4 linked regions of the Notamacropus eugenii genome follow. The protein of the gene in region 2 interacts with the protein of the main gene of each other region in a pairwise test. Links are inferred from orthologs where the notes say so. Each region holds a gene or a part of one and is shown on either strand. Other genes may lie near its edges. The genes, in order: RBM42, RBFOX2, BOLL and ATXN1L.

Region 1 (7,859 bases), on a different chromosome or scaffold from region 2:
GATGCTGTCAGTACTTTGTCTTTGATATGGAACATTCCTTTCAGGAAACAATTGGTGGGTTCTTTATATTTTCACTTCACCCTCTGGTTCTCATAGATCTGAGCAGTTTTCACTTAGGATTTCCTGGAATATCGTGTCCAGGCTTTTTTTTTTTCTTTCAAATACAGCATGGTTTTCAGAGAGTACAATGATTCTTCAGTTATCTCTCCTTTATCTGTTCTTCAAGCCAGCTGTTTGTGATGTCTGAGAGCCTCATTTTCTTTTTTTAATCTTTCGATTTTCTTCTGCTACTTTTTACTGTTTCATGGAGTCATGAATTTCTCTTTGGACTCTAGTTTTCAGGTGTAAGATTTACTTGTTTCTCTTCTAAGCTATTTATTCTTTCTTAAAGAGCTTTTATTTTTATCTTTTCATTTTCTCATTATTCAAGTCATCCCTGTAGAAAAATCCATTGCTTTTCTTTGAATCTCCACCTGCAGTTAACAGAGTTACTCTTTCTTTTTTCTGGCCAGATTTATAGACTGGTAGTAATCTATGATACTCGTTGTTTTCTTTTTTCTTTTTCCATCTCTAAAGCTGCAGCTCCTGAACTGGGGCTTTGTGGGAATCTGGATACTCACTGCACAGCTCTGTACTTGTGGCTGGAGTGTTCGGCCTTGCCTAGTCTGACCCTGGTTTATCTGGGTTCCCATCCCCACCTCCTTCCAAAGCCCTCTGCTCTTCCAAGGTCCAGAGTTCTGGATCGTCAAGGCCTCTTTGGCAAGTCAGGCCAGGGACCCCAGAGCCCTGCAGCACCCTGGTCTGAACAACATTCTCCCTTCTCAGGGCCCTTCCTGTTTGGGGCTTTTGGGGGGAGCACTTCATTCTGGCTGCCCATACAGGCTGCCCTTGGCCCTGGCCCTTTTCTGGTTGTTCTAGAAGGCTGTATAGTCTTCCTTGCTCTGCTGATGGGCCCTTTTTCTATGGCCTGTGGACTGATGACTTTTGGTGCAGTTTTGGGGTGGAAGAAATCACTTTTTGCAGTTTTCAGTCTATTTCTTGGTCATTATTCAGTCTGGAGTAGATTTCAGGTTTTTGCTGAAGTAGGTGTCCAGGAGTTGGGTAGGCCTCAGTATAGACAGCCATCTCAGCCAGAAATCCCCTTCACCTCAGGCCCAATCACCTCGATGATCTCTACACCCCCTCCTTCTGCCACATGGCTAGCTCTTGGCAGCAGAAATGCATGTGTGGATAGTGTAGAGGCAGAATGCCTGGGGTCCAGCACCAGGGGATGTTTGAGGTCAAGGAAAGGGAGGCGTCAAGGAGAACACAAAGGTTCGTGGGAAAAAAATGGCCCACGCAGTGCTCTTCACACATGTGCAACTTTGAATGCCCAGACCTCAGCAGATGAAAATCAGATTAATCTGGAGGAGGTGAACTCAAAACAATGAAGTACCTGAAATGCTGTGATTCAGAAGACCCCTTGGACTCCTTGGCTCTGTGGAGGTTGAATTTGATGATGATGGCCAAGCCAGACTTGCTGGTGCCTGTGCATTTATTTGTGCAGGCCATGCCATCTGCCTGTAGAGAAGACAGTCCTTCCTCATCTTTGGCCAGGCTCCCATCTCCTTTGTAAAACCTGAAGCAGTTTCCCCAGATAAAAGTTATCTGCCTCCTTAAATTTTCCAAAAACATTGCATCTTATTCTATTTTCCAACCTTTTCACTCTCCCTTGTTTCTCTGCAAGACTTTTCTGCCTTTTAGACTGAAAAGTCCTTGAGGGTAGGGACTGGATCGTGTATGTGAAAATCCCACTGCCAAACGAGGTCCTGCCCAGTGGAAGGGGTTAATGGATGCTCACTGAGTCACGTTGAATTGCTTCCTCCCCTCCCCCCCCAGAACTACTTCAGATCCAGGAATCTGAGGAGAAGAAGCAGCAAGAGCACCTGGGGCCCATCCTGCATCGCCTCGAGGAGCTCATGGAACAGGGACTGGACCACATCCCCCAGCTACTGAAGGCCGTGGGGGACTGGTGAGAGGGGGTGCCCTGGTGCTGAGGGACCCGGGGTGGGGGCTGAGGAGAACTGAGAAGGGGATGCTCCAGACCTGGGCTGGAAGGAGGATCCAGGACCTCCAGGGACCTAGCCTGTCCCTGCCATCTCGCCCCCAGGTGGGACCAGCCAGGGCAGAATGCACTTCCCGAAGAGCTCCAGGACCAGGATGGCCTCTCCCTCCAGCAGTGGAAGCTTCGCTGGGCACGGGCCCAAGGACGAAGAGCCTGAACGCTGAGGTTTGGAGCAGAAGCACAGAGCCAGACAGTTATTGGACTTGAAAAGAATTGGTTTCATCCTTTCACTGTTAAAGTGACAAATTCCTGCTCCCAGTAAAGTGCTTAGAGATTTCAGGACCAGGGCTTTTCTCTGTGCATTTAACCTCTGACCCTTAAACTTCTCCAGTCCTTCAGTGCCCCTGGACCAACTCATGTGCTCTTGGCCCTTGACGTGTCTGGCCTGTTCCCTCAGTTAAAACAAGAGGAGGCAATCAGGGTTTCCTGGGGCAGGATAGGAAATCAAAGACTTGAGATACTCCTCTAAGGAAGGGGGTAGGGGGAGCAGATCTGTGCCAGGTGGACCAGATGATGGGGTTGGGAGCGGAGGGTGAAAGAAGCTCCCACTGTGAAGGTTCTTAGGACAGAGACCAACCCCTTGGAAGGGAAGAAAATCTGACCATGACCTAAGAGCTGGTTTCCACACTGGCACCCTCAGGGTGCCCTTGGCTCCCCCTGGCACATGTTAACATATTGGGGAGGAGGGACTGGCAGTAGAATGTGTAGGGTACCTCCCTCTCCTTAAGTTTGGCCAGGGCTGTGGTGGCCCTTTCCTGGGGAGGATACAGTGGCATCTTTACTCCTGGTGGCCCTGGGGCCACATGGGGACCGGGTTGTTCTCATGAAATTTTAGCCTTCCTGGATTTTTTCCCAGTATTCAAGGACTGAACAGGAGGGCCTGCTTCAATGTGTAGTATATCTTAGTAATGGGAGATGCTTCAGGGATCTTGGATCCCTATGGAAGTGAGTCCCCCCCAGAGTTCCCAAAAAAGGGAAATGCTTCCCCAGGCCCTGGGGTACTCGGCTGCCATTTTCTCCTCAAGGTCTTGCTTAGGAGAGTAGCAGTGTATTTATTGGGGAGTGGAGACAAGGCAGGGGAAGGGGCCAGACCCTGAGCCCCTGCTGGAGAGCCATGCCCTCTGAGATGCGGTGCTTCAGCGCTTTGCTGTCTGTCAAAGCTTTGTACTCCCAAGGTACTTAGACTTCCCCACAGATCCCAGCCAGGAACAGGATGAACCTGGAAAACTAAAGGGCTGGCTGCTGTGTCCCCTGTGTTCCCCCCCCCCCCCCCCCCAGCCCCATATGCTTTCCCCATTCCCCAGGAAACCTAAATTCCAGTGACCTGGCTGAAAAATCAGGGACCACAGCCCTATCCTGACTCCTATCCAATCTCGACCCTAGGTCTCCTCTGTTTCTTTGCCTTTTGAAGGCAGGAAAGAGGGGGTCTGTGAGGTTCCTTCCGAGTGTGAAATTTGGGATCCATTTTATTATTCCTCAGTTCGTGTTAATAGGAGTTGAATGTGACCTTACTCAAATCACTTCCCGTTTCTGGGGTCTCAGCAAGGCAAGGACTTGGACTGGACCAGATGATCCCCAAGGCTCTCTTCTGGGTCGGGTTGAGAGGTGGTAGCAGAAGCTGTTGGCCTCCTTCCCAAAGCCCCCCTCTGCAGTAAAGGCCTCCACTCCCTCTACCCCCCTCAGGAATCCGGGCGCTTCAGTTACCAGCCCACAAACCTTCAGTGTTGCCTCTGAGGCTCTAGTAAAGCCCAGCTGCAGCACTCCACTGGAGGAGTCTGCACGAAACCGGGTGCTCCTGGGAGTGGGGAGGGACTGTTCCCCAAGGCCATTTGTCTCAGTCTGCCTACCTCCAGGGATCAGGAGAGTCCTCCGAGCCTTCTCTGGCCTCAGCTAGACCTGGCATTTCCTACTTCTCCCTAGAAAAGGCTCATCTCGGCTTCTAGCTGGATATGCTCCCCGGAAAGAGTTTTCCTCCCATACCCTGGCAAAGGTGATCATCCCATCTTTTCCCACTCGTGCTTCCCTCTTCGGTTTTGATAGCTAATAGTATTTCTGTAACGCACATTGGGCAGACGTGTCCTGGGAGGGAGGTGTATTGTCTTTATTTTACAGATGAGGTAACTGAGGCTCGAGGTTTAGTGACGTGGACGGCGCGTGCTTACAGCTCGTAAGCGCTACACCCCGTGCTCGGGCCCTTCCCATCTGCTTACACTTCGGATCTCCCCAATCTTAAAAGGCTTCACAACCCGTATCACTGAGCTATGCATCCCCCACTCTTTCCTTGTTCACCTATTAAAACTGGCTCCTTGCCGTGCCCCCCGAGCCTGCACCCTCTCGCTCCGGGGGACTCACGAAGGCTTTCTTTCCGGGCTCACCAGCCTGCCAGCGCCTCCTGAAAACCGGCCTTTCAAGGCTCTACTACCCCAGGGCTCCCCACTGCAGCCCCTGCACTTTCCAAGTAGAAAAGCCAGAGCGGCGAGAATTTGACGGAGTCCAGGCAACACTCGGGCCAGTTATAGGCGGGCTAGGGATTAAACCCGAGTCCCCAGCTCTAGACCAGGAACGCCCCCGCCCTCCCAGCAGGAAAACAAATCTCCCCCGACACTACTGGCCGATGGAAACAAAGTTGCAGGCTGGGGGCGTGGTCTCTGGTTCCTTGCGCTCTCATTGGCTCAGGAGGCAAGGAAGCAACTGCGCTTGCGCGCCTGCCGGACTCGCATAAAGCGAAGCTGATTGGTGCCACTTGAGCGCATGCGTTCTGCGTCATCGGCGTGCGTCGGCAAAGAGAGACAGACGGCGGAAGCGGCTGTGGCGACGACGATGGCTGGGACAGGGCCGCCCCCGGGACTCCCGGGTGCGGGGGTAGCGTTGCCCTCGGGCCCAGGGCCCTGCGTGCCCGGGAAGAGCGGCGAGGAGCGACTGAAAGAGATGGAGGCGGAGATGGCGCTGTGAGCCCCTCCCTCCCCCCGCCGCGCCCGAGGCCGGGCCGGCAGTCCCTCTGCCTCCGTGCCGGGGAGCCCGGGAGCGGGGAGGGCCGACCTCGTGGGGGTGGGGCAGGGAAAGGGGGCGGGGCCTACCCGTTGTCTCCGGTCCTCTGGCTGGGCCTGGGAAGAGCGATCCCGCACCGCCCGCTGCCTCTGGCCCCTCCTCGGGGGTGAGGCCGCCTGTGTCCCCGCCTCCCTTCATCTCCCATCCCTGTGGGTCCCGTCTCTGAGACCTCACCTGCTCTAGACGACTCCCTTCGGCCCTAAGGCTGGACGTCTCTGCCCCTGCTCCGTGTCTTCTCTCTGGATGTATCTTTCCGTCTCGTTCTCTCTTGTTGGTGTGTTTGTCTCCGTGTCCCTCCGGAGGTGGCTCGGGCTCTGCGTAGTCCTGATTTTTTATCTTCTTTTTACTTTCCCTGTCCACGTCCTGGTCTTAGTTTTTGCCTCACTCTTGCTGTTTTTTCTAAACTTTTTCTTTGTCCGATTACTTCCATCTTTCGTGGTGTCTCTTAATCTTCGTCTGACTCCCATGTTTTTCTTTCTTATACTTCTCCCTCTGTCCTTCAACATTCCCAAGTCTCCTTCCGAGCCTGCAAAGAGAGAGGGTTGGACCAGGTGGCTTCTGAGATCCTTTTTGGCACCAAACCCAGTGATTCTTCTGTGTGTCTAAGTCATTTCTTCTTTCTGTCTCAGGTTTGAGCAGGAAGTCTTGGGGGCTCCAATATCTGGAATTCCAACCCCAGTTGTACCAGCTGTGGAGCCTGCACCTGTGATCCGCCCAATCATTGCCACCAACACCTACCAGCAGGTAGGGCGGTCTAGTGTACCTTCTGGTGGATGTGTAGACTCTTACCATTCAACTAGTTCCTCAATTCCAAACCAGCTTTTATTCTTTGTTCCACTTGTCTATTAGTCTAGACTCCCAAGAAAAAGGGAATTTGAGCTCCCTCACTGACCACTTTCTCTTGTTCTCCCTCCTGGTCAGGTCCAGCAGAGCCTGGAGGCCCGAGCAGCGGCAGCAGCCACAGTAATTGCTCCCATTGTAGGTCCCCCTGGCCCCTTTGTGGGTCCTGGTGAGTTGGGAAGGACGTAAGAGGGAGGGTGGGTCAAGAAGGAATAGTCCAGAAGGTCCCCCCACCAATGCAGTTTCTTCTCCTCTACAGTTGGCTTTGGTCCTGGAGGAGATAGAGGTCGTCTCGACAGCCCTGAAGCCCGGGATGCCATGTTCCTTCGCCGGGCGGGTCAGTGCCCAGGACCCAAAGCCTAGAATTCAACATTCTCTGCCCCTAATACACACACGCTTAGTGCCCATACCTCCACCTCCAGTAAATATTTAGCCTACCCAGGAAATCCCTCCAGGACAGTCACAAAATCCTGAGACTCCCCCAGAATTTTTTCCTGAGCCCTTAGAACTCCCCAACAATTCCACAATGCCTCTTCAGAGATATTTCTCCCAACCATGGTACCTTTCCAGAGACCTAACCCCAAGGGACCCCAAAAGATACCGTCAGGCCCTTTAAAACCATCTAACCCCTAGATACCCAACCGCTCCTCCCACATACAGATCTCCCAACGATCTCAGGACTCCCTGAGATTCAAAAGACTGATTCAGAGGTGCCAGCAGTGACCCTAGGACCCTCTCAACCCCTGAACCCCTGAGGCCTTCATTCAAAGACCCTGAAACATGGTCCTTCACACCCTGTCTCCATCTCTGTCTGTGTCTCTCAGCAGTGCCCCCGCAGCGTCCCCCCATCCTGCGCCCAGCCTTCGTCCCCCATGTGCTGCAGAGAGCGGGTGAGAGAAGGGCCTAGGGAATGTTCCTGGCCCGGCCCCATCCCCTCTTTGGCGTCCCCGGCACCTCAAAGATCCAGGGACCCCCTTCACCACACACTTTCTCTTTCTCTTTAGCAGGTGGCCCACGCCCCATGGCTCTTCGGCCCCCACATCAGGCCCTGGTTGGGCCTCCCTTACCTGGTCCCCCTGGACCTCCCATGATGTTGCCACCAATGGCCCGGGCACCAGGACCCCCACTTGGCACAATGGCGACCCTGAGGCCTCCCCCAGTGAGTGTGCAGGGCATGTGAGAAGGGAATGCCTGGGGATACAAACATCCCTATTGTAAACCCTAGAACCCAGCCCCCAACTTTAACAGTATCATCTGGATCTCCCCTAGATGTCTTTGGTTTCTCTGCATCTCTCTATGTTTTCCTTTCTTGTTCTTTCTCTATATCTGTTTCTTTTTTCTTGTCTCTTTTCTCTCAAGCTCTGAACCCACTCAGGTACTCCACAGTCTGAGCTGGGAGTGCCTGCTGACCCTGGGTGGGGGCCAGCTCCCCATGCCCTCCCCATCCCTGGCTCTGAGGCCCTTTGTTCCCTTCTATTTCTCTTGATAACCTTCATCTCCTTGTGTTTTTGTCAGGAGGAGCCTCCGGCCCCTCGGGAACTAGGCCTAGGCCTGGGCCTGGGTCTGAAAGAGAAAGAAGACGCTGCTGCTGTGGCTGTGGCAGCTGCTGCGGCTGCAGGGCTTGAAGAAGCAGGGGCAGCTGTGGGGGGCCCAGGAGCTGCAGCAGTCATTGGGCCCAGCCTCCCCCTGCCCTTGGCCATGCCGTTGCCTGAGCCTGAGCCCCTGCCTCTACCCCTGGAAGTCGTTCGGGGACTGCTTCCACCACTTCGAATCCCTGAGCTCCTGTCCCTAAGGCCCAGGCCCAGGCCCAGGCCTGAGCCCCAGCCACCCCCAGGACTCATGGCCCTCGAGGTCAGTGTGGACCAGG
Region 2 (7,011 bases):
CATGCCTTTGGGCTACAGTAACTAGAGCACTTAGGAACTAAAAAGTAAATAAATAAGCATCAGTGAAAAAAACACTGAGACTTACAATTGGCAGATAAACTGCTAAATCTACTTCCTCTCCTGCATCCCCCCAAAGTCCCAGAACACCAGGACTCAACAACTTTAAGATCTTCAGTCAGTCTTAAGAGAGATCATTCCATGAGGTTAAGGAAGAAAAAAAAACAATCTCAAGAGACCAAAGGAACTGTGTCCTACAGAAACTAACTGTCAAGCACCCCTGTCAAAGTTCCAAGCCTTCAGCATACAGCTTTCACACCAACGATGGGACACCTCAGCTTCTAGGTCTGAGAGGCCACTGCTTTCTTTCTAGTTTGCTTCCAGGATCCTAGATTATGGCTCCCTGTAGTATTTCTCCCTGCTAAAGTAAAAAGTCTGAGCAAAACAGGCAGACCAAGCAAAAGAATCCTGTAAGAAAAAATGCCCTCAATGTGGGGGGACAACTGGGACCCCATGGCACAGTAGGTAAACAAATGGGTCATCTCCCTTAAATCAACACATAACGGGACAAAACTACCTTCTAGAGAACAGATTTTGTCTTTTAAGAAGAGCAAAGAATCCTACAGAAAAGTACCATGCATGGGCACAGCAATTTCTGTGGCTCAGGAAGCCCGTAAGGGCTCTGAAAATCAGGAAACAAAGCTGAGAAGGCATTCAAGGTCTGCCCAGACTTCTAAGGCACCCTGGTCAGTTTGAACAACTTCTGGTTGCACAAGCAGGGTGAATACCACAGTGAGCAGCACCCCTCACCTCTCACACTAAATAAGGCTTTTCCAGGCTGAGACCATGCCCCTCTCCCCAACCACGAAGTGCTCTGGCTCTGACCTCAGACCATGTACCACAGACCAAACACCACACTCCCCATTCTTTCCACCCCTAATTTCTCATCTCAGAATCCTGAAGGTCCAGAAAACTTCCTTTCAGGCTTGAAGACAAGGAAGTAGGAAAGGAGTCTGTGAGAAGCCTGGCTGTTCATCCAAGGGATGCACCAAGCCTGGCACAGGAGGGATGCTTGTTGGCTTCAGTCTCAGCAGACATGCTGTTCCAAGTTAAGGAGGCTCAGCGAGCTGTGACCACAGTACCAAACTCTGCTGTTGCTAAAAGTCCCACAACTGATTTAACCCACAGCCTAAGCCACATCCCCTTTCTACTCTCTCTAGGAGTAGATTCTCCATCCCTCTCTTCTCTTGTCTAACTTCCTTGAGTCCACCTCCTCCATTTGTAGACCTTCTGGCCCAGAGTACTCAGGCCCTTATAGTCACAACAGCCCCTCCTTCTCGTCCTCTTCTGCTTGGTTCATCTGCTTGTTCCCAAACAACATATCCAAGCTTATTCCCATTCCTTTCTCCTCAAGAAGAGAGGAAAGAGATGGCCAAAGGGAGTCTCAACCCCACCAGAGTCATTCTCTCCTATCTTTCATTCTTCAGTATCTCTACGATCCACTAGTTGCCACCCATATTCACACACCCATACAGGGCTCTCTCTCTCTCTAGCCCTCAACACCCCCTTCTTCAGATCAGGTCCCTTTATACAAAATGAGAATTCCCCTTCAACTCCCTTTCCAAAACTAAATAACCCACCCAAAATTAAGGGCTCCTCATCCACTCACCTGCAAAACTGAGTTCCCCACCACCAAATTAAGAACTCCCTCCCAATGTTCCACTATGTCACTTCCCCCAAAATGAACTGCCCTCAAAAAAGCATTTCCCAAAAGTTGAGCACACTACCTCCAAAAGACCCCTCTTCAAAAATGAGGACCACCAAAACCAAACATTTCCCCCTTCCAAAAATAGCTATTTCTTCTAAAAACCTTGGTCTCTGTCCAAAACTAGACATTCCCATCACCAAACAAGGTATCACCATCATAATTCCCCCGAAACAAGTGACTCCCAAATCTAGCAAAGCCCTCCTTCCAAACTTCAAAATCTGTGTGCTCCACCTCCAAAACAAGGTGTCCTCCCTTTTCTCAAAACCAGATGTTCCCTTCTCCAAAAAGTTATCTTTCCAAAAAGGATGTTCCGCGAAATGAGTGTCTCTCAAAGCTAATGTCAGATTCCCCAACACTAGCATTCCCTACATGATTTGGGAACCCCAGTTTCTATTTCCCCAAAATCAGGTGTTCCTAACAAACCAGGTATTCCCTAAATGTCTTGCTTCCCCAAAACTAGCATTCCCCCCAAAATCTAAAGATTCTTATTTTCAAACCAGGTGATTCTTTCCCCAAGCCAGAAGTCCCTCTATGCAAAAATAAATGCCCCTCTTCCTAAGCTCCAAAGCTACCTTGCCTTCCAAATAGCTGAGTAACCGGCTTCCAAACCAAATGTCCCTGTCCCTGTTCAACCACGTGCCCCCCCTTCCCTAAACCAGGTATCCTTTTAAAATCAGGGTATACCCATCCCCGAACAGAATGCTCTTCCCGATGAGTGTCTTCAAAGGCAAGCATCTCCTTACCCAAAGCGGTTGCCCCTCCAAAATCTAAGCACGCCCCAAACCAAGTATCCCTCCCCCTAACTAGATGCCCCCTGTCAAGGTGGATGTCCTGCTCCCCCTATCCAGATGCCCCCTGCCAGGTGTCCCGCTCCCCCCCCCCCCCGCCAGATGCCCTGCCTCCCGCCAGGTGTCCCCCCTCCTCCCCGCTCCAGATGCCCCTCCCCCGCAGGTGTCCCGCTCCCCCATTCCGGCGCCCACCGGCCCCGCCCCCCTCGAGCGTGCCCCGCCCCGTCCCTCTCACCTGCATGCCGCTGCCTCCCGCTCCGCCTCCCGTTCCTGTTCCCGCTCCGGCTCCCGCTGCGGCCGCTGTCCCCTCGTCGGGCCGAACCTGGGCCGGCGCCCCCGCGCCCTCCGCCCCCTCGTCGGTGCGCTGCCGCTTGCCCGGGCCGGGGTCGGCGGGGCCGGGGCCCGCGGGCGGCGGGGGAGGCGGAGGCGGCGGCTCCAGCTCGGACTCCCGCTTGACGCCCCGCGCGGGGCCGGGCTGCGCGGGGGGCTGGGGGGGCGGCGGCGGCGGCGGCCGCGGCTGAGCCTGGGCCCCTTCCGCCATCCGCCCGCCCGCCGGCCCCGCCTCGCCCACTCCGCCGCTCCGGGCCACGCGCGACAGGCCGCCGCCTCTCGCGCCCTCACACACGCTGGCCGCGCCGCGCCCCGCCACCGGCCGCGCGACAGTCGCGACTCACGGGCTCCCGGCGGCCCCGCCCCCCGCGCGCGCGAGCGACTCCCCGAGGCGGGCGCACACTCCTCCACGCGGGCGGGGGCACGTGCGCGTGCGCGTGCGCGACGGGCCGGCCTTTGGCGCGCTCGCCTCGCTCGGCCGGGCTCCCCTCGCCTGGCTCCTGGAAGCCTCGCTCTCGGTCTGGGCCTCGCTCTCGGGCGGCTCGCGACGGGGACAGAGCGCGCACGCGCCCCCGCGGCTGCTGGCGCGCGCGCGCACGAGGCCTTCCCCCCCCCCACCGCTTGGCCGGCCAGCCTCCCGCGCGCTCGGTTTGTCACACACGCAAACCCTCGCCGCCTGAGAGCCAGACACAGACACACCTCTCGAGGGCTCCAGACCGGAGGAAAGGAGTGGGGCGGGTCCGAGATCCCCGGGGGGCGGATGTTTATTTGGGGGAGGGGTCCGGGACCCGGAGCGAGCTGACTGGCCGGGAGCTGCGGAGCCGCCTTCGCAGCAGCCCGGCAGGGGCGGGCCCGAGGGGAGGGGGCGGGGCCCGTTCCCTTCGGCAATCTCCGTCGCCTCCGGTCAGTGGGGCCAGATCGAGCCCGACCGGCGCGATAGGGAAGGAATCGGCAAGTTTCGGGAATCTCCGGGAGGCGAGGAGGGCTAGGGCAAAGGGAAGGGGGCGGCAGAACGGATCCCGAGGGGAGGGGCGGAGAGGAGGCGGAGGCAGAGGCGGCCGGCGAAAGGGGTGGGCGTGGCCTGCCGCCTTTGGGGGCGGGACCTGCTTTTCAGGGGCGGGGTCACAGGTCTAAGGCGAGCCACTCGACAAAGAAAAGGGGCGGGTCCTGTCAGGGCCCCACCCCCAGGTTGAAGCTTATACAATCAGGGGTCTAACTCGGCCCAACCTTTTCATTTGCTGAGACTTCCCCAAGGTCACACTACGTAGCAAGCCGCAGTGCTGGGATTTGAACCCTCCGTTAATTAGATTCAATTTGTCCCGTCTCTATCATACCTACCTGGCCCTGCTAATAGAGCACTGGTTTTGGAGTCAGAACGATCTGAGTTCTCAGACATTTACTTGCCCCGCGATCCTGGACAAGTCACTTATTCTTAGTTCTCTCAACTGTAAAATGAGGATAATAATCCCCAGGTTTGTTGTGAGGATCAAATGAGATAATGCCTATAAAGCACTTAGCCCAGTGCCTGCCACGTAGTAGGCGATTAATAAATGCTTGTTGACATGACTTGAACCCAAGTCCTTTGTCTCCAAACACAACCCTCATGCCATTATGCTGGAGTTGGTGGGAGGTGGAGGCAAGGGGCAGGGAGGAATCTTCAAATCTGGGGAGGTGAAAGGGTGAGCCTGTTCTACCTTGGGCACAGTCTGATGTTCGCCTAGGAATGGAAAGGAGTGTGGAGGTGCCGGTTACTTCTCTCGGAAGGTGGAGGGGCGTGGCCTATTAGCCTGGAACAAGACTTTCTTTGCCAGGCTGGAGAGGTGGCTGGGCGGGAAGTACTTATCTCTGCAGTGAGAGTGGTGGGCTGGGAGCCAAAGAGAAGGGGGAGGAGTTGGGCGCCCCGCCCCCCCTCAGGTGACCCTTGTCTTAGGCTCAGTGGATGCAAACCATTATGACTCAAATTCACCCATCTGGGGCCAAGGGAAGCTGTGCCTGAGTAGAAAGGTTTGTGGGTGTAGGAGGGAGATTGGCGGGACTCTCCCTCTCCCGTTCTGCTTGCAAAAAAAAAAAAAAATCTCCTTGCAATAATAATAGCTTGTGTTTTTATATAGTACCTACTACGTGCTAAAATGCTTTACCATGATTTGATCCTCCCAGCAACCTTAAAAGGTAGGTGCTATTATTATATTTTACAGATGAGGCAGACGGGTTAAGTGGCTCACTTAAGGTTACACTGCTAGTAAGTGTCTGAGGCCAAATTTGAGCTCAGGGCTTCCTGACTCCAGACGCTGCACATCCCAGTCCAAACCCTGAGACAGTTCTCTTGGTCCATTTGTTCATTCCATGAGCATTTATTAATTGTCTGCTCCTTGTGTGCAAAGCTCTATGGGGATCCAATGAAAAAACAGTCCCTGCTAGCAAAGCCTGTACATTCTCCAGTGGCGGGCAGGGAGCTAGCCTTGGGTTTCATTTGACTTGTGATGTTGTGGGGCCCATAATTTTTCCTGCTCAAAGCATAGGGGGAAAGAGGGTCCTACAGTGACAGGATATAGATTTAGAGCTGAAAAGGATCTTAGAGGTCATCTAGTCTGACTCTCCCCTTCCCCTCCTTTACAGGAGAGGAAATTGGGCCCCAAAGAGATTAAGTTACATTGAATGGCAGAGCCAGACTTGAAACTCAAATCCTCTAACCCCAAATGCAGCCATCGTTCCCTTTTACTGTCCTGCCTTTCCTTCCCTCTTTTACCCCTACCTCTTAGCAGTCCCAGGTTAGAAGGTCCAAGTCTCTCCTGCCTCGAGCCTGGAGGGGACTGGGGTAGAGTTCCGAACCAGGAACCAAGTGAACCAAGCAAAGCCAACTGATGGGAACAGCTTTGGCTTCAGGGTCAAAGGGCCTGATCTTCAAAATCTAGCTCTACCACTGCCTGGGTGATCTTGGGCAAATCCCTTCCCTCTTGTGGTCACAGTTGCCTCCCCCATAAAATGAGAGCATTGGAAACGCTGCTCTTCTCATGAATTGTCTATTTAAAGTAGTAGGCAGATTCCTCCAGGGCAGCCTATCCAGACTGGGAAAGTTGGAACCCCCTTCCAACAAATGAGTGCTGACCTGGCTTTGAGGTGGCAGCTGGGATAAGCCAAAGGTCACCTGGAAGCATGGTGATTTTCTGAAAACTTCCACCCCCTACCTCTCAGGACAATGTCTGGGGCCAGGTCTGCCCAGTGGCCTTCTAGGTCCTTTGTTTTAGCTATCCATGTTAATCCAGAGCCCCTCTGAAAAGCAGAGATAAGTATTGGAGGAATGCTTGCAGAGGCAGAACAAAGAGAAATCAGACCCTGCTGGATAAACAGACATGTGGAATACCTGTGAGCACCAGTGAGGTGGGGGAGGGGGACCATGAAGATAGAGATGGCTGATGGGAAGGACCCCAGCCCAACCAACACAGTCACCACTAGCAAACTCTAGTATGAGCCTAGGAAGCACAATGCCCTCTGAGCAGTGGGAAGTGGGAGCGGGAGGGGCAAGTAATCTCAGTGTGAAATAGAGACTGGAAGGGAGAGGAGGGAGATGCTGGCTGGGGAAAGGGAGGAAATGACCATTCCTTGAGTGCTGGGTTTCTTCACCTTGTATGTATCCTGGATGCCTTTAGCAGTCTGGCAAAGCCTGTGGACTCTTTCTCAGAATCCTGTTTTTAGATAATTGAAGGAAATGCTACATTTCAGTTAGGTTAGTAGAAGATGTCATTTTTCCCCAGACAAATTCACAAGCCCCTAGAAACTTTCCACAGACCTGTAGATCCCAGGTTAAGAGGGGAAGGGGAGAGGAAAGAGATAAGCACGTATCCAGAACCTACTGTGTGCCAGGCACCACACTAAGCACTTTTTACAAACATCTCATTGGATTCCCTGCTGGAACATAAGGAAGTCATGTTTTAACTCCAAAATGCATGTGATTCCCAACACATGAAACCAAGAGCCAGTCTCAGTTGGGTGCCTAGAAGCACCAAGAGGTGTCTAAGAAGTCACTGCTGCTCCTTGCTGCTGAAACCCAATGCCCCAGACCCAGAGTCAGGAAGCAAACTGTGACTTTGAGCCCGGGAACCACCCAGATCCGGGACCCCTGCTCCATGA
Region 3 (7,191 bases), on a different chromosome or scaffold from region 2:
ATATTTTTACCACATTGAATAAAATACAACAAAACTTATTTTATTGTAGATGCTATTGAAATTTAAAAGAAAAAGACAGACCTTGAAAAACAAGAATAGAATGAGTACTAAAGTAGCATACTTGGGGGGAAGGGGAACTTGAAAAGTAGTTGATGTTAAGGTTACTTCTTAACTGCTGAAGAACAAATGGCTTCAAAGTGATAATTTAGTAATTATCTTCCCTCATACCTACTAAACTTCTGAGCTAAGCTTTAACACCTTCCTAGTTATAGTATCTACAGAATCTATATATAGTACATTAAAATCTTACCACTTTAAAATGAGAGGAAGACCAACCTGAATTAGAGAAGTCTGAATTATACAGTATTTAACAAGGAATGCTTTTCCATTACATACTAATATGGTAGCACCTAGCTCTAAGTTTTATCAGAATTGCTTGAGGAAATAACAATGAAAAGTTTAAATGTGTTACCTATATGAAAAGGATTGTAGAAAGGTTGCTTTGGCCATTTTTGTCAAGGTGGTTAAACACTAACTTTTGCTTATACAGAAATTTTTCTCCTTGTAGTTTGGCAGAAATTCACCTTTTGATTAATGTTTGCATACCTGACTGAAATGGGTGTAGGGATCTGCTTTATTGAAATATTACTGTTAAGTACAGTATTGTTAAGTACAGTCAACTCTGAATAGACTACCTACAGCAAACTTGTCTCTGGCTAGACCTTTCTTTAAGAGGAAGAGAGGTTTGAATAGATCAAACCCCTTTTCAGTATTACTTAACTATTCATTCAGTCCCTTTCTTACATAATTAGGCATGGTTGTTTTCTAAAACACTGTTTCCCTGGGCCGCAACTAGGATGGGGTGATGGGGATTTATCCTTGGATGCTGACATCTGGAGGTGCACTTCCTCTCTAAGGTCTTTCAGAGACCACTCTGATCTCTACTTCAGGCTTGTTCCATTTTTGATTTATTTTTTTTCTTTTGTTCATTAAAAAGGCCATTCCCTGACTACTTCTTAAAGAGGCCTATTCACTCAATGGGTGTTACCTCCCTCTAAGCGAGTACCTGAAAAGGCCAGCCTAAGAAGGCCAACATCTCCCAGTGCATCCTGGGTCATCTCTAGTCATCCTGATGAATATCTGGTCACTGGATTCAGATGGCTCTGGAGGAGAAGTGAGGCTGGTGACCTGCACAGCCCTCCCTCACTCAAAACAAAGTCAAGTGCAAGTCATGTCATCATTTCTCTGATGTTATGGTCTTCTTTGAAAAGGAAGGATGAACTCAAACTATTCGTTCCTTTTATAAGAAATGTTTTAAATATCAAATATTTCTCAGATATATAACAAACTTACCTAAATGGCATACTCTAGATCACTTTCCATAAAAACAGGAAACTTACTGACTTTCAACTAAAATAATCTACTAATTTAGTATCTATACAAATAGAATTTAAAAAAATAATATGAAGAACTGCGGAGAACAAGATGCATGTATGGTTCACTTATGTGGCTATCTGTATAACAAAAACCCCACTGCTGACTAAGAATTTTTTCTAATAAAGACAACTGAAAATTGAAAATGGAGTTCCACAGAGGTTTTTCACATACGATTCTGAAGGAGACAGTGCCATTATGTCCATCTTACAGATGCAGAGACCAAGGCTCAGACAAGTTATTTGACTTGCCAAAGATAACACATCTAGTAAATGTCTAAACCCCAAGGCTCTTAATTTCAAATACAATCCCCTGTACATCTGCTGTCTTCCTGAAAAGAGATATTCCTTAAGTTAATGGTTTAAATACAATCACCAATTTTTTCGCTGCGTTTATGCGAATGGAGAAAAGGCAATTTTTTTGAGAGAAGGCAAAAAAGGAATGGAAATGGTGTCTGATCATTCAATACTTATTCCTGAGTGTAGGGAAAGTAGAAAAACAAGCTTTATTATTTGTGAAAGGAAAAACAGAAACTGTGTCATACAATTTGTAAAATGATCAAATGTCAAAGGATGTTTAGTAACAGAAGACACACACACGACCATCTGTAAAACAAAACCTATGCAGCTGTCTCTGTAATCCACGTTAAGGCAGAGACTCTCTTATTACCAGCCTATACGCTATCCGTGATGACACTTGGTTAAAAAAAAGGCAGCTAGGTGGCACGATGGAGAAGGTGCTGGGCCTGTGGTCAAGAAGACGATCTTCCTGAGCTCAGAATCTAAGCTAAGACACTTCTTAGCTGGGCAAGTCACTTAACTCTGCCTCAGTTTCCTCGTCTGTAAAACGAGCTAGAGAGGAAAATGGCAAACCACTCTATCTCTGCCAAGAAAACCCCCAAGAGGGTAAGGGAGAGTGGGACACGGCTGAACAACAAAATGCGTGTCCGTCGCCTCCGTGCCGGCCTCAGCAGCACTCCAGAAGCGTCAGAAAACAGAGCCATCACTTATACAGAAAACTCCGTGCCATACCACGCACCTTGATGTTCGGCAGAAGCAGCTCGGCAAAAAGACTCCTATCAGTAAAGTTCTTTCCCACGGTAATGGCCATGTAGTGACTGTTTTTCTCTGAGAGTTAAATACCACGGCTTAGTTTAACCGTCAAACATGATAAGCTTTGCAAGCGGAGCTGGAAGAAGAGGCGCGCTAACGGTCACGGCCCCTGCCTCTGAGCCCGGTCCACTGCGAGGCCGGCGAGCGCGGAAACAGACGCGGCAAACACTGCCTCCAGCTGCTTGGGGTCAGCACCGGAGCGGACATAGCCTCGAGCGTCCACCCCCGCCCCAGCTGGGAGCGGGGGGGAAATTATGGTCAATGAGGTCTGGTCCACCGCTAGCCCAAACGCTGTGCTCAGCCAAAGGAAGCTCAACGGCCTCGTTCTCGCCTCGCGCCCAGCCTTCCAAGGCGCGTGCCGGGGCTGGCGAGACTAGCCTCCCTCCCGCTCACGGGGCGCGCTCATTGGCCCTCCCGCCGGCGAGGGGGCGGGGCAGAAGCCGGCCAGGCACGTTGCCTCAGGGCCGCAGCCCGGCCCCTCCCCTTCACCCCGGCCCCTCCCCTTCCCCCCCAGCCCGTCCCCTCTCTACGCCTGCGAAGCGGATCAAAGGCTAGACAGGCCCCGGAGCGCAGCCCCGGGACCCCACCTATCGTTTTCTGCGGTGGCGGGGCGACTCCACAGTCTCACGAGGGGCTTCCTCGAAGCCCAAGTTGGCCACGGCTGAGGCGGAAAAATTCCGCTTTCCTCGGAGGTTGGGTGGGCGCTGGGAAGGCGTGGTCTTCGAGACCGTGGCTTCAGCGGGAAAGGAGAGCTCACTGCCCCCGGCCTGGGGGAAGCGGCGTCGTCATCGTCTGGCCTCAGCCACCTTTCCAGTCTCCCTTCTGTCGCACGTGGCCTGAGCCGCCGCCCCTCCCCAGAAACGTTCGGCCCCATCTGAGCGCCCCCCCACGCCAGGCCGCCTTCCTTCCTCGCCTCCGCTCCGACCCCGCCCCGGTCCCATACGAGCCCGGTTGCCCTGCTCTCGAGGCTTCCCATCCGCGCCGCGACGCCCGGCCCGCGGCGGTGGCGGCGGCGTTAGAGGCCGTAACCTAGCCTCCGGAGGGCGGGGCGAGGGAGCCCTTCCTTGGGGAAGCTGTTGACCCAGCCCGGCACCCCAACCCCAAAACGGAATCCCCGAGCCCCCGCGCACCCAACAAGCGTAGAAGGGGAAGGCGGCGGCTGAGGCGGCCTGGCCCGCCCCGGGATCCCGTCCTCTCTCACTCACCGCTCCCGAATCCGTCTCCATCTTCCTTGGGCTCCCTTCGGGAAAAAAAAAAAGTTTTAAAGTGTAAAAAAAAAACCAACTAAAAAAAACCGGACCACGAAACCTTCAAATAAATGGAGCAGAACCACGTTTCCCGACGAGAGAAACTTTTTTCTTCCCACCCCCCCCACCCCCGCCCCGCTCGCGGCTGTGGCTGCAGAGGTGGCGGCTCCGACGCGGGGGCGTGAACCTGCCACACTCGGGATCCAGCCGAAGTCCCCTGTCTCCGCCGGGGGCGGGGGAGTGGGAGTGGGGAAGGTGGTGCGGGCGGGCCCTTTAACCAAGGGAGGGGGCGCTGCGGGAGACTCCCGGGCCCTTGGCAGGGTGCGGTGGCTGGCGCGGGCGGGCGGATTCCCAGTAATCTGAAATGGGGCAGGTGCAAGGGAAGGGAGAGAATGGAGTGAATCCTCCTGTAAGGGGAGAGTGGCGAGGAAGAGGGAGGGGGAAAGTGATCTACGTCCAGGACTGGGCAAACTTCAAAGCAGTACGTAAATACCTGTTTTACCCATTTTTTCTTTGACTAACATGACCACGAAGTGGCTAAAGCTGCTGAGGTTCGGGGAGGGGTTCAGCTGGGGGTCCGGCTGGGGGTCCAGGGCGTCTAGTCCTCAGCCGCTCGCTTTATCCTGGTTTCGGAGGGTAGGAAGCTAAGGGGGCGTGGTCAGGAGACTTTAACTCTTGGCCCTTTTGAGAGGCTTAGACAAGGTCTTTCCTTGTAATTCGTTAGTTTAGAAACATTGTTTCCTCGCTATGTTTTTTTTTAAAGAGGAGCTCTTTAAAGGAGCAGCAGACCAGTTGGGGAGAGGCTGGCGGAAGGTGGCGAGCGCAGCCTCCCCGGGCCGCCCTGGACAGCTCCCCCACCCTCCGCCTGTTGCCGCTGTCACTCATCGCCGGGAAGGGGAGCAGAGGGCAGGCTCTGGGAACACGGCCCTGCGTGCCCCGCTGCTCGCCCCCCGCTTGGCTTGGGAGCCGCTCAGACACAGGAGCTTGGAGATCACTCACCTGGAGGCTCGGCGACCACTCTAGCCCACTCCACCTTCCTGGGAAGGACGGGCTCCAGGTCCTTGGCCCCTGGCCCTCGGCGCTCCAAGTCCCCTCTCTGTGTGCCTGGGTCCTCTCTCTACTACTGTACTCTGGTGTCAGTTCACCAGCAAGCCCATAACTGCTGATCCTAGCCTGGCTGAGCCACACACCTCCAGGAATAGTATCCCCTATTAGCCTATTCCCTATAATAAGCATGATTTTATAGTTTGGGGAGAATTGTTGTCATAGGAAACACTACTCCAGGTCTCATTGGGAAGGAAAACTTGGTGTAGTTTGTTCCAGACGTAGGCTGAGGCTCACACTTCAAGAACAATTTTTAAAAATAAAAATCAAGAATCAAGAAGCTGCAGGTTTTAACCAAGAAAAGAGGAATAGAGAAAATTATTTTACAGTAATAATTCTGCACACTACTACAATGGGTTTTACTTCTAAGGTAGAGGATTAAAATAAAACCAACAAAAGTGCCTATATTAATTTTAACACATTCAAAGATCACCATCAAGGTGATCTTAACTTTACTAGCTATGAATATAATGAGAAGCATACTTTTAATCCTTCGGTTGTATTTCATCTTTTCTAGATTGCCCATGCTATTTAAACCCAAATTTTCTTGTTTTAATCCTCACACTAAAGGAGAATGTTATTCTTTTAATCTTAAAAGCCATGTTCTAGAATTGAGGAATTATGTTTCAGTTTTCCAGTAACTCTATGCTATACTTCTAATTATTTCTCCAGGAGTGGTGATGGGCTTATATTGAATAACCAAAACTCTCTTTCCTTGTTCACACTTTCTACTAAGCACACATATTTACAAGACCACTCTCACCAAAGTTAGTTAGAAATGCAGGGTCTGGTTCAAAGGACAGAGGGAAGATGTCTTCCAGAGAGATGGAGCACATGAGCATGTTAGAGATGCCTTATATTCAATCAAGTTCATCAGTTGTAGCTTAACATTCTTGTTATTATCCACTTCTATACTGCCTCTCTTACAGGTGAATAATTCCAATTCTTCAACCTTTAAATCCATCACTCACCTTTAGATATCTAATTTAGCTTTCCTAAAATAACACTAAACTGCTTACCAGGACAAGCACATCTCACCTAATGTCATTAATTTCTGAAATGCTATGGCAAAATAATACCAAAGGAGGTAGTTAATTCCATGGGAACAATATTATAAATGGGTGATCATGATCTAAATATAACAGGGTTTTATGACTTTCTAATAGGGTTTTAGTATAATATGGTAAGGATATTAGTGGAAAGAGAGGGAACATGAGTAGTGGATAGAAAAGCTAGCCTTAGAATCAGGACTAATTGGGTTCAAATCCCATTTCTGACACATGTGGAATCTTGGGGAAGTCACTTAGCTTCTCAACGTCCCAGGGAACTCTCAAGTCTATAAATTATTGTTCTGCACTAATGGAGGGAATTTCTTCAGAGGAGCTTTCTCTATCAATGTAATTAGTTACAGATCCAACGCCTGGGGAAAAAAATTGGAAAATGATTTTGGATTAGTTCAGTGCCTGTATTCATCTCTCCTCTGTTTTCATCCTGTTCCTCCCTTATCCAAAAGTCTTCAATGGTATGGTGTTAACTGGAGAATTAAGATCAGACTCCTTGGCCTGGGATTCAAAGCCTCGGGGTGATTTCCTGACCCCATCATAGCTTAATAGCTTTACCTTCTACCATTCTCTAATAGAACTTGAACTGCTGGTCAAGAGACCTGAATTTGCCCAGTTCTACCACTAATTTACTTTGGATTCCTGGACAAGTCACAAGCAGAGGGATTCAGTTATACATAAAAAGAGGGAATTGGACTGATCACTTCCTAAACTAGATGGGACAACAAAAGGTCTCTGCCCTCCTAGGGCATAGTGAATGTAAATAGTAACTAGTAACTATTTCTCTTTTGGCCAGTAACCCTGAGGGTCTTCCCCTCCCCAGCTTGATTTTCTTTTCTTTTTTTCAATCACTTCTTAAAGAGGCCTATTCACTGAATGGGTGTTTCCTCACTCAAAGTGAGAACCTGAAAAGACCCAGGGTCTCCCATTGCATTCTGGCCCGTTTCCAGTCAGTCTGATGTATTTCAGACCACCGGACCCAGATGGCTCTGGAGGAGAAAGTGAGGCTGGTGACCTTGCACAGCCTTCCCTCACTCCAAACAAAGTCAAGTGCAAGTCATATCATCATTTTGTCATGGTCCTCTTCCAAAAGGAAGGACAAGCACAAGCAGCTCCCTTTTTAACTCCAAATCCTAGCATAAACTGAACCTTTATAGTTCTCAATTTCTTCTGTAAATGAAGATGGACAACATAATTCCCACAGTCCCATTTAACTCTAACATTCTGTGAGTG
Region 4 (7,346 bases), on a different chromosome or scaffold from region 2:
AATCCAAAGACTCCAGCTTCTGGGATAAGAGGTCATTATTTGACAAAAACTGCTGTGAAACTGGAAAATAATGTGCCAGAAAGTAGTCATAGACCAATATCTTATACTGTATATCAAAATAAAGTCAAAATCAGTGCATGATTTAGATATAAAGGCTGATAGTATAAGCAAACTAGGAGAGCAAGGAATAGTTAACCAGTCATATTTATGGAGCATGGAAGAATTTGTGACCAAATAAGAGATAGAGAACATTATGAAAAGCAATATGGACAATTTTGATTACATTAAATTGAAAAGTTTTGCACAAAGCCAATGAAACCAAGATTAGGAGGGAAGTAGAAAACTAGGAAAGTATTTTTATAACCAGTGTCTCTGATAAATGCCTCATTTCTAAAATATATAGAGAACAGAATCAAATTTATGAGAATACAAGTCATTCCCCAATTGATGTGTTGAAGGGATATGAACAGGCAGTTTTCAGAGGAAGAAGTTAAACCTATCTATAATCATATGAAAAATGCTCTAAATCACTATTTACTACAGAAATACAAATCAAAACAACTCTAAGATATCACATATACCTATCAGATTAGCTAACATGACAAAACAGGAAGTTGATAAATGCTAGAGAAGATGTGGGAAAACTGGAACACTAATGCATTGCTGGTGGAGTTGTGAACTGATCCAGTCATTCTGGAGAACCATTTGAACTATGAACAAAGAGCTATAAAACTATGCATACTCTTTGACCCAGCAATACCACTTCTAGGTCTGTATTCCAAAGATTTTATTAAAAAAAAAAAGGAAAAGGATCCACATGTACAAAAGTATAACAGCTTTTTTGGTGGTAGCCAAGAATTGGAAATTGAGGGGATGTCCATCAGTCGAGGAATGGCTGAAGAAGTTGTAGTATATGAATATAATGGAATACTATTGTGCTATAAGAAATGATGAGCAGGCTGATTTCAGAAAAACCTGGAAAGACATATATGAACTGATGCAGAATGAAATGAATGAAACCAGGAGAACATTGTACACCGTAAGACACATTGTGCTACGACTTATCTCTTTTCAGCAATGCAAGGATGTAAGACAACTCCAAGAGATACATGATGGAAAATGTTATCCATATCCAGAGAAAGAACTTTGGAGTCTGAATGCATATAGAAGCATACTATTTGCTCTCTTTTTCTTTTGTTGTCTTGTTTCTTTTTTCTCATGGTTCCTCTCATTAGCTCTAATTCTTCTTTACATTGTGACTCATGTGAAAATATGTTTAATATGAATGTATAAGTAGAGCTATATCATATTGTATGCTGTCTTGGGGAGGGGGGAGGAGAAAAAAGGGGGGGAAATTTGAAACTCAAAATCTTAAGGAGGTGAATATTGAAAACAAAAAAATAAATTAATTAAAATTAAAAAAAAGTTTTTCTTGACATTATGCCTTAATTTACATCTTTGTTAATTCCACCCTTTGTTCTTGCTTCTGTCCTCTGGGATTAAAGAAAACAAATTGAATCTTTGATTCACAGTCTCAAACTCAGCCCAAAATAGAATTCATTACATCTCTCCCTATATACATTCCTCCTCCACATTTCTCCTGATGATACAACCAGCAATTCAATTCAATTCCATGCAATTCACTGAGCATTTATTAAGCATTAGCTATGTGCAAGGTACTTGCTAGGTGCTAGGGTTACAAAGACAGTAGAAAAAATTGTCTATCCTCCTCCTTCTAGTCATCCAGATTTTCAATCTTAGAGTCATTTTGATTCTTCCCTCTCCCTTATCAGCCATATCCAAGCAATTGCTACATCTCATAGACCATCATCTATAACATCCACCTCCTTTTCTCCATTCACAGCTGTTTGACTATTGTAATAGCTTTTTAATTGGTTTCCTGACTTAGTTCCTCTCTTTTCCAACCCATCCTCCAAATAGTTGCCAAATTAATATTCCTAAAGCACAGATCTAGCTATCTCAAAAATCTTAATTATCACTCCCCTCTCCTCACCAGTTATTAGCATTTTTCACATCTGAAATGACTTTGTACATATATTCCCTGAGTAGATAAGCAACTTGAGTGCAAGGACTATTTGGCTTTTGGCTTTGTAGCACTGAACATGGTACTTTGCACATAATAGGCACTAAGTAAAAATGTTTGTTGAATTTTTGAAGAAAAATCTTCTGTACATTGGAAGTTTTTGAAAACTGGAAGCAACTGCACCAATGAATCCCTTACTGGAGAAGGAACTCCTGTTTCAGTACGGGTTAGACACTGAGCCTCTGAGGTCCCTTTCAGTTCTGTGAGATATTGTGTACCTTGAACGTACACCAAGGACCTGCAATTTCATTGAGTGCACAAATTGCAAACCCTCTTTGATTTGTAACATGGGTGAACTGGCTTAAAAGGGCCAGTTCTTAGAGCATATGCAGATATTTCCCATCTGATTGCAATCCAAGTGCCCACAGGGGTTTCAATCTGTGAAACCAGAACTTAATTTCTTGCCATGTATGACTGAGGAGCTTATGTTAGGAGATGGTGAAAAGCCATCTAGTTGGTTGTCTAGCTGTCAAGAAAAACAGATGACTCAGATGAAGTTCAGTTGATACTGAGTGGGTATACATTCATCTCTCTTATTTTCTCTGCTGCCATAAAGGACTACCTAAAGTTGGTCACAAGAACCAGATGAAGGAAGAGCAGAAAGCTTGTTTCCTATCTGTATATGGCAGCTATGAGCACATGGCCTCCTCTGTTTCTTGGTTTTTATTCTTTCTTGATCTTGGTCAAATGAATATTCTGAAATGAAAGTGTAAGATCTTGTAAGATCACGAGATATAGAGTACTCATTAGAAGGCCCATTAGAAGTTGTAGTAGAACAGCAGTAGTAGCAGTGGCCACTAGAGTAGTGGCCCACAGCAATGGACATGGGTGCAGACAGATATAGAAAGATAAATCATCTGTGAATGGCATCATTGTCAGGAAGCATTCTATCTGTCATGGCAGATAGAAATGTTAACTTGGACTCTAGAAAGACCCTAATCTTTTGGGTCCATTAGAAAGCTAGACCTAAGAGGAACTTACAGAGGGCTCCAATGAAACAAGAAAGGGACTTTTAGGACCAGGATTGACATGTACCCCTTTGCTACATTGATTATATATGTTTGTTCATTATCGTTGGACTTTAAGTTCTAGTCCACTCTCCCTATGGGTTTCATATATTTTGCTAGGTGCTTGTACCCCAAGGGCTTTGGAGAGGATTTCCAACTGTTCTTATTACACTTGTAGTCTTTCTTTCTTTTTCAAGTTGATGGTGTCAACTCCTTGATAGTAAATAGAGACCACACTGGTGGGGGCTCATGAATAACCATTCTAGAAATCCAGCTTCTCAGGTTTGCCTCCAGAACTCTGAGAAGCAGTCTGTTGCCTGGGGGAAAGCAGTTTAGGAAATACAAGCCCAGGTTGGGGAAGGAGGACTAGAGAAGTATGCTATAAATATACATATAGCTTTGGGGAGTTGCTGGAAGCCAAGTGTCTGAGGTGGAATTTGAATGGATGTCCTTATTTCCAAGTGTAAAAGTATTGTATCCACTGTACTGAATTACCACTTTCAGACAGTTTGAAATGGATGGAGGGTTGGACGGATGGATGAAGGGATGAATGATAAATGAATGGGTGGAAAACATGTATCAGAGGATTACTGCGTCTTAAACCGCGTTAAATTAGGGGATACAAAGTATCAAAAGTAACAAAAGTACACGTCTCCACCCTTGAGGGAAGCCACACGTACAAGGGAGGGGCAGACAGGTGTTCTCCCAGGGATGGAGACTCCGCCGTCATCGATGTGATTTTCGCTCCCACAGCAGAAGGCGTTGATGCGACAAGCAGGGGGTGCCTCCTGGACTTGCACATCGGGCTGGGATGTCCCAAACAAAGACTCCGGGACGGCCCAGGCTGGGGTCCTCGTGCGCTCTGGAAAGGGGTGGGGTCAAGGCGAGGTCAGGGTCACCTGGAGGAAAGGGGCGGGGCAAGGCGGCCACGTGACCCGAGCCGCTCCCGGGCGCCGCGGCTGCGGCGGCCGTCGCCGGGGTTCGGCCAGCTGGCGGTGCGTCTGGCCCGCCGCTCTTCCCCGCGGTCCCCCCGCCCGCCGCTGTGACGCCATCTCCGGGCGCCGGGGGCAGGATGCGGTGACGCTATCTCCAGGCGCCAGGCTGGGGGCGCTGGGCGCTGGGCGCTGGGTGTGGGGCGGCTCCGGGGCCGGGGATGGCGGCGGCGGCGGCGGCGGCGGCGGCGGCAGCTCCTCAGGCCACGGCCCTGACACCGGCGGGAGGAGCCGAGAAAGCGCCGTGAGATGGGCCGGTGAGTCTCGCCGCGAGTGGCCGCAGCTCTGGCCAGGGTTGGAGGGGGTCCCCCATTCTGGCTGCCCCCTCGGCGGGAGGCGCCCCCCTAGCTGACCCTCATCCCCCCACACCCCCGTAGGCCCCACCCTCCTCCCGCTCCGTGACCCCCAAACGAGGAAGCGGGCGCCCTCCCTTCGAGGTTCCTCTTGTGACTCTGCCTCCTCCGGAAATTTAAACCCATCCCCCGCCCCGTAGTCTGTGAACCCGCGGCCCTGGCTGGGAGCCCTTCTGGGTGCCCGGGGCAGAGGCCTCGGGCAGTAGGACCGGCCGAGCCGCTGCCCTGGAGGTCAGCGCTCCCCCCGCGTCGGGGCTTAGCGGGGAGCCCCGAGCTCCCCCTTCGCCTTCCCCTCGAGTCCCATCTGGAGCCGCTTCTTCCGGAGCCACATCCCAAGCAAGGCGTTTGTGACTCCGATCAGTGATCGATACGTGCTGGAGCGTCCGATAGGTATCCCGATTTGGTCCGCTGCTGCTGTTCCGTCAGCTCTGTTGCATCCCCCTTCCTTTCGGTATTCAGCCCTTTGCTCGGCATTCAGGGACAGAGAGGGGGGGTAGAGTGGGTGGTTTTCTTGAATTCTTCAGAGATCGGGGGCATGGTTCGCCCCTGTGGGCATAACATGGCACGGCGTTGTTGAATGAGCCAGAACTGACTGTGCCTCAAGAATAGAAAGGATGTGCGTGACTCTTTCCAGTAGGAAATTTGTATTTATGTGACCAGGAATTTGCATGGTTACTTTATCCTTTAAGTCCATTTTCCTTAAGAATTCTGGCTTAATGCCGTGTTTATGGCTGCTTCTGCACAAGCCTTCCGTTTCCAGGACGGTTTGGACCTGAGATGACATGTCTTTTTGATGTCTTTCACTCCTAGACTTGGATGTACTGAAAAGTAGTCAGCAGCTTCTCATAGTATTTCCCCTGCTTTATCGGTCCGTTGTCCTGTACTTGGCATCTGTGGGCCTTTTAGATTGGTGTGTTTCTAGTTTAATGGGTGTGTGCTTCTTGGCTTCCTTCAGTTAGTAGATTGTAAATTCCTTGAGGATTGGCACTGCAGTTTGTTTCTTTAGCACCTGATATTGTGTTTTGTACAAAGCTGGCATTTAGCAAATGACATTGGCTGACTGGTTGGTATCCAATGTTTTTTTGTTGGAAATCTTAATAAAGCTTCCTCTTGAGTGACTTGACTCCCTCTTGACCTCCTTTTCTGCCCCAGAAATATTAATAGTTCTTTTCCCTGGTGCTTCTCTTATTCAAACGACCTCCATGCTTTAGCTTTCCACACCTCAGAGCAAAGGTGAAGTCATGAAATTGATCTTGTCTTTTTACTTGGTCATGGGCCTAGACAAGCTTTTCTATTAATTATTGGATCCAGCTGAATATTTATATTGGATATAAATTAAAACTGTAAGAAGATAGTGAAAGGTCTGAGCAGAAAGAACCAAAAAGCCTGTCACATTGGAGAGACAGTGAAATGAGATTCCTGATTTGTATTAGGATCCTTAAATTACATAAGATTAAAAAGTAACTTTTTTTAAACAGATTGTGCACCTGTACTGTCTAGTTGCCGTACTACTCTGCTTAAAAGACCTGCAGAATTTACTTTTTGTATCTCTCCTATTACCTGTTTGTTCTCTGATGGTACTTGGAAGGGTCAGAAATGAAAGTGTGCTATTCATTCTTTTCTCCTATCCTGTTTCCTTTTTCCAGGCTACCACGCCAGTCGGGAGGAGACTGCTTCATATTCCAGTTGCCCAGAAGCATTGCTGGAAGTTCAGGTAATAAACATGGACATCTCTTTGGGTTCCTTGCAGAATAGCATCTGGGGTGTAGGAGAGCCTGGTATTAAACCTCTCCTCATCCTTAAGGATATGTCCTGAAGGCTGAAGATTTATTGGAAGGAATAGGTAGCAAACTTCATAAGAAGGGCCTCTGAGCCAAAAAAAAGATTCTGATTGATGGTGGCCAGAAATGCTTGTGAAAGGTGATTAAGGAAGAAAGGGGAAAAAAGAAAGCTTTTTTTTAATACCTACATTGTCCAGTGAAATAGGCCTATGATTCTAAAGGGGGATTAGTATTTTAGGAAGTGAGCTTACAACAACATATTTGAAAGTTCCAAGGAAAAGGAACCATTGACAACATCATGAAGAAAAAAGGGAAAAAGGAGAGGAAAGAGAATCAAGAAAACAGTGATGAGGTATTGCTGACCCAGAATTGGGGAGGGAGGGTAGTCAAGCAGAAGGAAAAAATTGCTCTTACCTGAACAGGAACTAGAGATTCTTTTAGCCCAGAGGGCAGATTGGGCCACCTTTTGAGGATGAAGAGAAGCAAATATAAGTTAAATATGGAACCAATTACTTGAATATGGGGGCTTGAGTTGCTCTGAGTCATAATGGGGAATGACAGTTTTTTAGAACCAAGTTGATGGCATTTGAAAGTTAACTCGGGAACTTTTGGATAAGGGGGAAAAAGGTGACAATGAGACAAGAAGGCTAGAAGACTTAGGGAGTGGTAACAGTGGGGTGAGTGATCCAAGGCCGGAGAGTTTAGCCAGGCAGGGGTGGGGATAGGTGAAGTCATAAACCAAATAAGAGAAAGGAGAGGAAGTGAGGATGAGATCATAGAATCAAGAGAGGGAGATGACACATTCATCTATGATAGCAGAAAGGAGAGAGATTTAAGGAAAGAGGGTCAGCAGGAAGATTCTGTGTTTAAGTCCTCACAGAAGGGCAATCTGAGAGCTGTGAACAATCAAGGTCATCATCAGAGATGTGACTAATGAAGCTGTGGGTCTCCTCAGAGGAGTGGTGCCCACGGATTATTTATGTTTCAACTAGCTCTTTTCCTCTTAGCTCTTTTTGCTTTGTGGTTTTTCTGTATGTCCTGGCTAGGCCAAGGAGGGTAGTATCCCTCTTGGCGTTTATTTGTCCTTTTGTCATATTTCCTTGCCATGC

Evidence for each region.
Region 1: the proteins of RBFOX2 (region 2) and RBM42 interact in a two-hybrid assay, tested with the Homo sapiens proteins (2 studies listed by BioGRID and IntAct). The link is inferred for Notamacropus eugenii from reciprocal best matches to the Homo sapiens genes RBFOX2 and RBM42.
Region 3: the proteins of RBFOX2 (region 2) and BOLL interact in binary tests that used the Homo sapiens proteins (3 or more experiments, as listed by UniProt). The two-hybrid records come from large-scale screens. The link is inferred for Notamacropus eugenii from reciprocal best matches to the Homo sapiens genes RBFOX2 and BOLL.
Region 4: the proteins of RBFOX2 (region 2) and ATXN1L interact in binary tests that used the Homo sapiens proteins (3 or more experiments, as listed by UniProt). The link is inferred for Notamacropus eugenii from reciprocal best matches to the Homo sapiens genes RBFOX2 and ATXN1L.

Annotation. Positions count from the first base shown.
Region 1 is NC_092876.1:32,862,747-32,870,605, forward strand, and holds the start of RBM42 (RNA-binding protein 42), read left to right. Parts: upstream 1-4,840; 5' UTR 4,841-4,855; coding exon 4,856-5,052; intron 5,053-5,271; exon of another isoform or gene 5,272-5,678; intron 5,679-5,781; coding exon 5,782-5,896; intron 5,897-6,044; exon of another isoform or gene 6,045-6,073; coding exon 6,074-6,161; exon of another isoform or gene 6,162-6,251; coding exon 6,252-6,329; exon of another isoform or gene 6,330-6,816; coding exon 6,817-6,882; exon of another isoform or gene 6,883-6,996; coding exon 6,997-7,151; exon of another isoform or gene 7,152-7,507; coding exon 7,508-7,843; exon of another isoform or gene 7,844-7,859. Other genes in the region: HAUS5 (HAUS augmin-like complex subunit 5), read left to right, coding at 1,879-2,011, 2,150-2,261. UniProt on the Homo sapiens protein: Binds (via the RRM domain) to the 3'-untranslated region (UTR) of CDKN1A mRNA.
Region 2 is NC_092874.1:293,145,548-293,152,558, forward strand, and holds the start of RBFOX2 (RNA binding protein fox-1 homolog 2), read right to left. Parts: upstream 3,110-7,011; 5' UTR 3,095-3,109; coding exon 2,789-3,094; intron 1-2,788. UniProt on the Homo sapiens protein: RNA-binding protein that regulates alternative splicing events by binding to 5'-UGCAUGU-3' elements. Prevents binding of U2AF2 to the 3'-splice site.
Region 3 is NC_092876.1:268,130,476-268,137,666, forward strand, and holds the start of BOLL (protein boule-like), read right to left. Parts: upstream 3,096-7,191; 5' UTR 2,545-3,095; coding exon of another isoform or gene 2,473-2,544; intron 1-2,472. UniProt on the Homo sapiens protein: Probable RNA-binding protein, which may be required during spermatogenesis. May act by binding to the 3'-UTR of mRNAs and regulating their translation.
Region 4 is NC_092872.1:712,069,112-712,076,457, reverse strand, and holds the start of ATXN1L (ataxin-1-like), read left to right. Parts: upstream 1-4,209; 5' UTR 4,210-4,360; intron 4,361-4,384; exon of another isoform or gene 4,385-4,907; intron 4,908-6,102; 5' UTR 6,103-6,170; intron 6,171-7,346. UniProt on the Homo sapiens protein: Chromatin-binding factor that repress Notch signaling in the absence of Notch intracellular domain by acting as a CBF1 corepressor. Binds to the HEY promoter and might assist, along with NCOR2, RBPJ-mediated repression.